Linked DNA regions of Ovis aries. Each later gene encodes a partner of the first gene's protein in a complex. Links are inferred from orthologs where the notes say so. Each region holds a gene or a part of one and is shown in the gene's direction. Other genes may lie near its edges. The genes, in order: DOCK5 and RHOG.

Region 1 (4,431 bases):
ATTTCTTAAATTATTATTATATTTGATGAATAAATACGTAGAGTTACCCACCATTAACAAAACCTTAAAAAAAATTCAGATCTGACTTTGCAAAAAGTTACCAAAGTTAAAATGCACCGTTTTCAGTGAAGTTTTGCTTTTTTTTATTACGTGTTTATTTCATTTTCCTTTCACATTCGAAATCGGCAAGAAAATCTTCATAGGCTGCGAGAACAAAGCAATTTCAAGAGGCTTTTTCTCAGATGGTGAACCCGAATCAGCTGGTCATTTACTCTGAGATTTTACTTCTATGGGTTAGGTAGCAAGGAGCCCCACAGCCACCTGGGACTCGGATCCAATCTTCATTCTTGAGGTCTCTCCAGATGGAAGTGAGTTCCAGGAGGAGAGTTTCAGAGGACGCCAACAGCTCAGGGCTGTTCAAATGTGCAGTCCCTGCGTTTGACTCTGAACAGTGCAGCTAGTGAACAGGAAAGATTCGGATGTGCTCGTCCCCTTCCCCGCAGGAACACTCTTAGGGCTGCTGGAAAAGGGAGGTCTTTGGGGCGGGCTTTCCCCTGGACCATGTAGGTCTAAATTTCTTTAGCTGGGTCTGAGTCTCTTCAGCTGGGGAGGAGCCCAGGTGTTTTCCGGGGACATAAGATTTCCAAGTCAGAACTCGCTACATAATTCTCGCTCAGGGGCTCCCCTAAGAAACTACTTGATACTTCTGAGGAGCCCGGCTCCTTCCCATTAGTTCTCTATTTACCAGAAGACAAATGTTCCTGCTTTGAAGGCTATGAACCATGGCCACAGGAGATCACGTTTGCCTTGGAGTCCGGCTTCCGGCTCTTGTGGTGACAACGAAAGCTCTAGGGGGTGAACGCAGTAGTCAGCTGCTCATTCATTCAACAAATATTTATCGAGCGCCGGTTGAGTGCCTGGCACTGCGAGAGCCCGGGCGGCTAGAAACGACTTATCTTAGATCCTATGCACTCATCCTAGTTCCCCTAGATGTTGCAGAGCGCGCGGTGAGGAAGGACTCCGCATCTACTCCCGCTTGCTCCGCCTGGGGGTGCCCGACCCCTCGAGCGCAGCCCTCCCGACACCCCGCCGCCGGGGATCCAGGCTCCAGGGTTTAGCCCGGTTGGGGACGGCGAGGGGCAAGAAGCCAAACACTAAAAGGATTTAAAAAAACAAAAACACACCAAAAAAACCGTACCCCAGTCTGTGCTGGGAAACTGCTCCCGGGAAGTGTGCAAGGCGCAGCCGGCCTGGGCCCGGGAGAGCGTGGAGACCTTGGCTGGCCGGCGCCCGCGGGTCGTGTCGCGGAGGCGGCCTTGGCGGGCGGAGGGCGCGGCCAGCGGGAGGGGCCGAGGCGGCGCCGGGAGGGGCGCGCACGGCGGCGTGGCTGCCGGGCGCAGCAGGTGACCGCGGCTCGCGGTGTGAGCCGGAGCGTATAGCTGGCGGCGCGGCGCGCGGGGCCGAGCGAAGTTTGCCGGAACATGGCGGAAGGGCCCGGGGCGCGCCGGTGCGCAGCGCGGTGGCGGTCCGAGCCCCAGGAGCTGTAGCCGCCGCAGCCGCCGCCGCGGGGCGAGGTCGCCGCCATGGCCCGCTGGATCCCGACCAAGCGGCAGAAGTATGGGGTTGGTGAGTACTCGCCCCACCCCGTCCCCGCCGCCGCCGCCGCCAAGTTCGGGGGAGCGGCCCTGCCGGGTGCAAAGTTGGGCGGGGGACGCACGGTCACTCGGTGCGCGCCTGCCCGGGACCGGGCTGCCGCTACCCGCCGGGGCGCCGCCAAGGCTCGGCTTGGGCCCCATTCGTTCTGGGAGCGGTGTGAGCCGGAGCCCGCTCCGGGAGCCTCATGGAGGGTGGGGGGTCATTCTGAGTTTGGGGAGTCCGAGTGTCTAAAAGTGCAGTTGGTTTCCGGACTGGCTGTCCTGCCCCCCGACTCCCAAGGCTGCAGCGCTTTGCAGAGTAGAAACGTGCAAAGCCCGGGCGCTCGCTCTGCTTCATTTGGGGCGCCCTGCCGCGGTGCTCGCGCCCACTGTCCCCCAATCCACCGGCCCGCTCCGGCCCGTGTAGCTTCATTCAGTTCTTTGTAACCGGCCGAGGCCCGTGGAACGCGAAGTCGGCGGGCTGCCCCAGCGCTTCCTGCCTTTGCTCTTAGGTTCTCCCTGCGGCCCCAAGTGAAGAGTTTGTGGGGGGGCTGTTGCGGGGGGGCGGTAGGGAGCCGTCCTCTCCCAACTCCTCCCAGGCACAGGGATCCCTGTAGCAGTTGTAAACTGGTCAGGAGACTCAAGCTGTGGTGTGGAGGTGATGGAAGCGGCAGGAAGTGTGTGGTATGGGAGCGGGGGTGGCTGGCCCCCGCGGCTGCTGGTGCGGACTGTCGTCCTCTACCCAAGCGTGAGTGGAGACGGTCTCCGACTGCCTTCTGAATCCCCATTCCGCCGTGGGATAAGACAAGGACATTTTACTGGGAACACTGTGACAGGTCCTGTGCTAGGCACTTGGCCGTTTCGAACAGCGGTGCTGGAAGGGCCGGCAGGATGTGCAGGAGGTTGCTTTCGTGTTAGTTTTCGATCCGAAACGGTGGTTGAGCGGGGCTTTAACCCAGGTGAAAACTCTTGGTCTTTCCACTTTTTATCGAGGAGTGAGGTTGCTTAGGTCTTGTGGAAAGACTGCTGTTAGTGGGGCGATTAAAGTGGCTTTAGGCTTGGGGGCGATTCCCTAGTATAAACACAGTTGAGAATTTTATCACTTCCTTTCAGGGTCGTTCATTGGGCATATTTGTAAGTCTTCGGCTTAACTACCATCTCGCTCGCATTTTTTTACCCCCTCACTTTAGTGGGAGGAACCTATTCTATGTTTTCTGACGGCTTTGTCAGTTTCAGTGAGAGATCTCTAGGGGCTTTTCAACTGGGAAGACTTGATTCAGTTACAAAGAAACAAACCAACTCTTTCATATTTATTACTTTGAGATGGTGATCCTCGTGTATATATTTATATGTGTGTGTATACAATAATATGCACAGGATTCCTTGTTTTTCCTTTGCAAAAACTTTTTCCTTTAAATTTCTTTTAGAATCCTTGCACTCTTCTGTGATTGTAGTTCTGCTTAATACTTTGGTCATGAGCTTTCAGGTGCCAGTTAGTAAGTAGCCAATAATTCTGGGAGTCAGATGGAGCTAATTTCTTTGTTTGTGTTAACTGGGTACTAACTCCTAGATGAAAGTATATTTAGCAATGCCTAGTCAACACTTCTCACAAAAAATTATCAATTCTAATTTTGTTTAATAGGAGAAACTCTCTCCAAAAGTATTCTGAGTTTAGCATAGTTAAGGCAAACATATCCTAAAAACATGGGTTTTATTTCCATAGTTATAGTAACAAGAGTGGTATTTTCTCTTTTTAATTTTTATCATCAGTCAAGAAAATTGAATTGCATTTCAAAGGTATAGGTAGCGGCAAAATTGCCCCAGAGTATCATTTAGAAAATTTATTTCCCTAGACACAATGGATACTTCAAAAAAAAAAAACACACAAAACTTTTAATTTTGTATTGAAGTATAGGTGATTAACAGTATTTGTGATAGTTTTCAGGTGGACAGCAAAGGAACTCAACCATGTACATACATGTATGCATTTTGCCCCAAACTCCCCTCCCATCCAGGCTGCCACATAACTTTGACCAGAGTTGCCGACACAATAGATTGTGATGAATCTGGGTTTGATAAAAAGGCCCACTGTTAGGACAGATGAGCTTATGGGATCAGTGTCCATTGTTTATTCCCAAGACACATGGTGATCATGCTAGCTCCCTGCTGGGAAGCCTTCCTTGGCCAGCAGGGTAAAGTCTAAACCGAGCCCAGTTTTCAAGGTTTTAAGACTCCAGCTCAGTATGTTTTCATAAAGCATATCTCTCACCGCTTCTCTCATCAACCCTCTAACGCAGACGCTGCCCTCTCCCTCTTGTGCTGTACACGGAGAGTCCCTCCTCTGGGACTCTTCGCTCCTATGCGTGTCCCCTGTTCCGAGTGCCCTTCCACCTCTGAATCCCATAATCTGGCCTTTCACCCAGGGTACGCTGCTTCCTCAACATTCCTACATTTTATTACTTAACCTTTGGTTCAGTGAATCAGAAGGTTATGGTATTGCATCCTTGGGACTAGAGGTATACGGGTAGAGAGCATGCATTCAGTAACTGCTTGTCCTTGGCGTTGGTGTGACATTCTAAGGCACCAACCTGATTTCTACAATTTAGTGCAGTTTTTTTTTTTTCCCCTCTTAGGTTTTAACATCTCATTCACTCTAGTATGACTTTTACCTTGTTCTGTTAGATGAAGCGAGACCCTTAAGTTTGTCTTTATCTTTGCAAGTAAAAAAAATGATATGCTGCTGAGAAAGCAGGCATGGAATAGATGGACTTGCTTAAATGTGATTGGGAAAAATTAG
Region 2 (4,503 bases), on another chromosome or scaffold:
AAATTTACCTGTTTCTTTTTAATTTAATTGGGGGAAGGACTTACAGCTGGTGGGGTCTTAGTTCCTTGACCAGGGACTGAACGGGTGTCCCCTGCAATGGAAGGGTGGAGTCCTAACTACTGAACTGCCAGGGAATTCCTTCTTTTTACTTTAAAAAAAATGTCAGCACTAGAAAATTTTAAGTTACATATGTGGCTCACATTTCGACTAGACAGCACTGGGAGAGACTACCAAGTGCAAGCCAGAGGTGGCGTGTGTGTGTGTGTGTGTGTGTGTGTGTCTCGTTGGAGGCAGTGATCCATTGTGAAAGGCTGAGTCTATTTCGCCAGGCAGTCAATACAGAAGTTAGGTGGAAGGAATAGAATGCACAAAGACCCAAAGATATGGGCAGGCACGTTGTGTTTTGGGAACTCATTCTTACATTAACACGATTTTTAAAAAGAGGAAAAGAAGCATTTGGAGTGTTTACTGTGAGCCAGCCACTGGCAGCAGGCCTTTTACATCCATTCTCATCTTCACAACTGCAGGATGAAGGGGATGTCATTCTAAATTGCCAAAGATAGAATGGAGGCTCAGAAAAGTTGAACAGTTTATTCTAAGAGTTGTTCTTCCTCTTTCTCTGGAAAGCCTCTTGGAGACAAGGAGCCTTTCGTTAACGTCTCTGTTTTCCTCCACAGCACCTAGCACGCAGCCCTCCACGTGGTAGGCACTCAGAAAGTTTGTGTTGGACGAAGAATATTTTCTCAAGTCAGAGCTCCACGCGCAAGGCCTAAGAGCAGAAGCACCAGAGGGCGCCCACGAGTCCGCCCACCCGCCCATCCCCAGGGCCCCGGCAGGATTCAGGACTGGGTGCGGTCCTTCTGTCCCAAGCAGTTGCGCGCCCCAGCGAGAAGAGGGGGCGAGGGGAGCCCCACGTCCTGGCCCCGCCCCGCTTCTTCGCCGGAGCCCAGGCGCGCGGAGCCGCCGGGTGCGGAACGACGACACGACATCCTGTTTTTGGGGCCCGCGGCTCCGCCTGCGCCTCTGCTGATCTTGTCTTTCCCCGGGTGCTGACGCCAGCTCCCCTTCCCCCAGTCTCCGCACCCTTCCCAGGGGTCTGGGGCCTTCCCACTGCTGAATCACCGCCACCCCGCGCTCCCCCGGGGCTCGGGGCAGGGGTGGGGACTGTCCCAGCCGGACCCATTCTGGCCAAATCCCAGCCTGGGCCATCGCTCGATCCCGGGGCTTGACTGAAGGCACCAGGCCTAGGGGCGCCCGTTCTCAGCATCTTCTCGCAGGGGTGGGTGGGGGCAAGATACGGTGAGAGGGGCACAAAATCCAAGCGCCTAGGCTAGGGCCTCTGCTGGGCTGCGGGTGGCAAGGAGACTGGGAGGACTGACCTTAGACGCCCTGACCTAAAGGGCCTCAGAGGTAAAGGGCTGGGGTGAGGGAGCCAGCACCCGGCCGGGGGCCAACCGGCTGGGGGCGACCTGGGGTGGGGGGGACCGGCCCGCGGACTTCCTGGTCGGGCCCCGCCCCGGCCCGGCCCGCTCCCGCGCCCCGCCCCGCCGGCGGGCCCGCCCCCCCCACTTCCTCCGGCCTCCCGCTCTCACTTCCTTCTCGAGCCCCGAGCCGCTGCCGCCGCCCCCAGCTCCCCCGCAGCGGGGAGGGCACCAGGTGAGGCCCGGCCCCGGCCGGCGGGCTGAGGGTCCGGGGGAAGGGAGCCCGGCCGGCCCGGGACTGGACGCGAGCGCAGGCCCGGGAAGTTTGGCTTCGGGAGGCCGCGGCGGGAGGTGCTCGGCTCGCTCCAAGTTGGGCGGGTGCGGCCGGCCGGGCGGGGCGGGGACGGGCACGGGCCACTGCGACCCGGCGACGGCTCCGGGAGGGTGGGGGTTCCTGTACCGATGGCGGCGATACCGGCCCCCGGGAGCCGCGAGGGACTCCTGAGGTCGGAGGGGCTCCCGCTCCGAGAGAAAAGTCTCTTGAGGGGAAGAGCTCAGAGCTGGGAGATGAGACTCAGAGATGGGGTGCCCCCAGGAGTTGCGGGAGGGCTGTTCTGAAGTGTGTTGAGGGGAAGGGGCCCCTGGGCTAGAGAACTCCTCTGGCAGTTGTGACACTTGTGAGGTAGAGAGAGAGGCTGTCTATTGCCTCTGAAGCCCTGGGCTGCGGAGAAGGAGCTCCTTCGCTGGAAGATCAAGGCCAGTCCAGACTGCAGCCCAAGGTCCTCTGTGCTCAGGAGGTGGGGGAACCCCGGTCGACCCTAGTGCTTCTCTCTGTGTGTCTCTGTCTGAAGCAAAACCTCTCCATCTCTGGAACGGAGAAACAAGTATTGTAGTGAGCAAACATCGGCTGTGCCTAGCTGGCCGATGCCTGCCACTGCTCATTGGCGGGGTAGACGGAGGAAGGAAAGGAACCAGGTCTTCCCCTGTTACAGAAGTGGAAGGGCTCTTACTCGGAGGTGCTGATCATCCTTAGCGAGAGGGCCTCACTGAGAGCAGGACTGTTTTTTAGGAGATGGAGAGAATAGGGCTTCTGGGAGGCCACAAAGACTCTAGCCTTGGAAAATGATGAGCCATCTCCTAGTCTTCCCTCTCCCCCATTGTTAGTCCCTGAATTCTACATGTTATTCTGTCTTCCTCCATTCCTTCTTCAGACTCTACCCGCGAACCCTTTGTCACCCTCTTCTCGTATCCTCTTCAGTTGCTTTTTCCCCAAACACACAGTCATGCCTGGCCCCTGACCTCTCCCCTGCCCTGCTTCTCTGTCCATCCTTGTCCTCTCCCTGTGGCCTCCCTGCTCCCTTCCTTGCCCAGCTTCTGGCTCCGCACACATATCCACCCTCTTGATTCTTCCATCTGCCCTCACTGTGATGGATCCCTGTCTTCTTCCCTTTCAGTAATGAATCTCCCGCTTTGGGGAACTGGACCACCCTAGTTCAATGAGGTGGGCTGCAGCCTCCCCTTGATAAAAGTGATGAAGGGTTTGGAAAACCTGTAGATGTGTATGTGCGTGCAAGTGTCTACATGTACATATCTTTATCTTTTGGAGACAAAATAACTGCCCTCAGCCTTGAGAGGGCCCAGAGCAGGGGAAGCCAGCAGAATGAAGGGAACCTGCATTGGGTGAGGTTGTGGTTAGGTAGGAGGAAGCAGTCTGTAGCATTCGGAGTATCAGGGTAGAGTGACACAATATTGAATAGGACTGGTGAGAGAGGCCGTGGGAAATCAAAATCTCCCAGACCCTTAGGTGCTTGGTCAAGAGGCCAGGCCTGGAGCCTGGGGGACAGCCTAAAAGTCCCTGACTCCATTGCTCACTTGTTCCAGCACCTCCTGGTGGGGAGAAGGGGACCAGGTCAGCTAGGTGTGATGGAAGGAAAGTACAGGGTTCAAGAGGGAAGACTATGGCTGGTTTAACTTCAATCTTAAATGTCTTAGTTCCAGTTCAGGAAAAAAAGAGGGGTATGAGGCAAAGGTGTCTGCCTGCTCTTTCCTGCTGCTTTCAGGGCCTGCCCAGGCCAGATTCCACGTGCCCTGGGCTGCATCAAAGCCTTGGTGACCAGGAAGCTCTCTAGAGTTCTGCTTACCCCTCTTCCTCAGGCATCCTTAATATTCCCCCTCTCACCTAAGAGCTTATTCCCTCTCTTTTGGGAGTTTCTTCCAAGTCTAACTGAAATCCAGCCTGGCTCTTTGTAAGCCTTGCTGTCTCCATTCTAGAGCCTTTGGGATGCATGCTGAGAGATCATGCTTCCCTCTCTTCTCAGGCCTACTCTGTTCATTTCTCTCCACTAGAAGAGAAGTGGAGGAGAGCAAGTGCTACTTTTGTGGGATTCCCAAGCACAGCTAGGTTTAAGGGCCATTCCTGTACCCCATTATGTCTCCTTCCCTTCTCACAGTTGTCTGTTCCCATGATTGTTTCCTACTGACATTCTGGGAGGTATAGAGTTTTGGCCCCAGCAGGAAGTCCCAAGGACCTGCATAAAAATCCCAGCTCAAGGGAAGACATATATGCAAGGAATTTCCCAGCATCAAGGCTCAGTTAAAAAACCACCCAGGAGTCCTGACTTCCCACCTACCAAACCAGTACTTATTTTAGATAACTGAGCAACCGACAGGATTCTAAGAGAAAAGATAGGATGGATGAAACAGGGGTTCTCCCAGACAAGACCTGGCCCCACTGAAGATTTGAGCTAATTGCATGAAAGTCACCACCGGAAAAATATAACCAAGGTGCAGGGAATCTAAGTGGGGAAATATTTTGCAGAGGGTGGAGGTGAGGAATATGTACCTGCTGTAGGAGGCTGCCATTGAGGTCTTGGCTAAAAAAACTATGGTCAGGGTCTCTTGACATGAAGAGAAGTGACTCAGGTCAAGATCCTGGTTGAGAATCTAGGATACGGAGAGTTGTTTCTGGCAAGATGTTACGACAGATGAAGTGGCTGGCGTAAATTTTTAGGGGGTCATGAGCAGGAAGATTTTAGAGGTTGTGGCTGTAGTGAGACAGTTGGGAAGATATTAGAATGCAGGT

The links.
Region 2: the proteins of DOCK5 (region 1) and RHOG are in contact, whole or in part, in a cryo-EM structure (PDB 8XM7), measured with the Homo sapiens proteins. The link is inferred for Ovis aries from reciprocal best matches to the Homo sapiens genes DOCK5 and RHOG. Residues at the interface, in NP_079216.4 of Homo sapiens: Val232, Phe345, Asn393, His394, Lys395, Gly396, Trp400; in NP_001656.2 of Homo sapiens: Ala121, Pro123, Leu126, Arg127, Arg128, Lys130.

The regions. Positions count from the first base shown.
Region 1 is NC_056055.1:40,505,651-40,510,081, reverse strand, and holds the start of DOCK5 (dedicator of cytokinesis protein 5), read left to right. Parts: upstream 1-1,401; 5' UTR 1,402-1,583; coding exon 1,584-1,626; intron 1,627-4,431. UniProt on the Homo sapiens protein: Guanine nucleotide exchange factor (GEF) for Rho and Rac. GEF proteins activate small GTPases by exchanging bound GDP for free GTP. Along with DOCK1, mediates CRK/CRKL regulation of epithelial and endothelial cell spreading and migration on type IV collagen.
Region 2 is NC_056068.1:49,994,111-49,998,613, forward strand, and holds the start of RHOG (rho-related GTP-binding protein RhoG), read left to right. Parts: upstream 1-1,590; 5' UTR 1,591-2,200; exon of another isoform or gene 2,201-2,218; intron 2,219-4,503.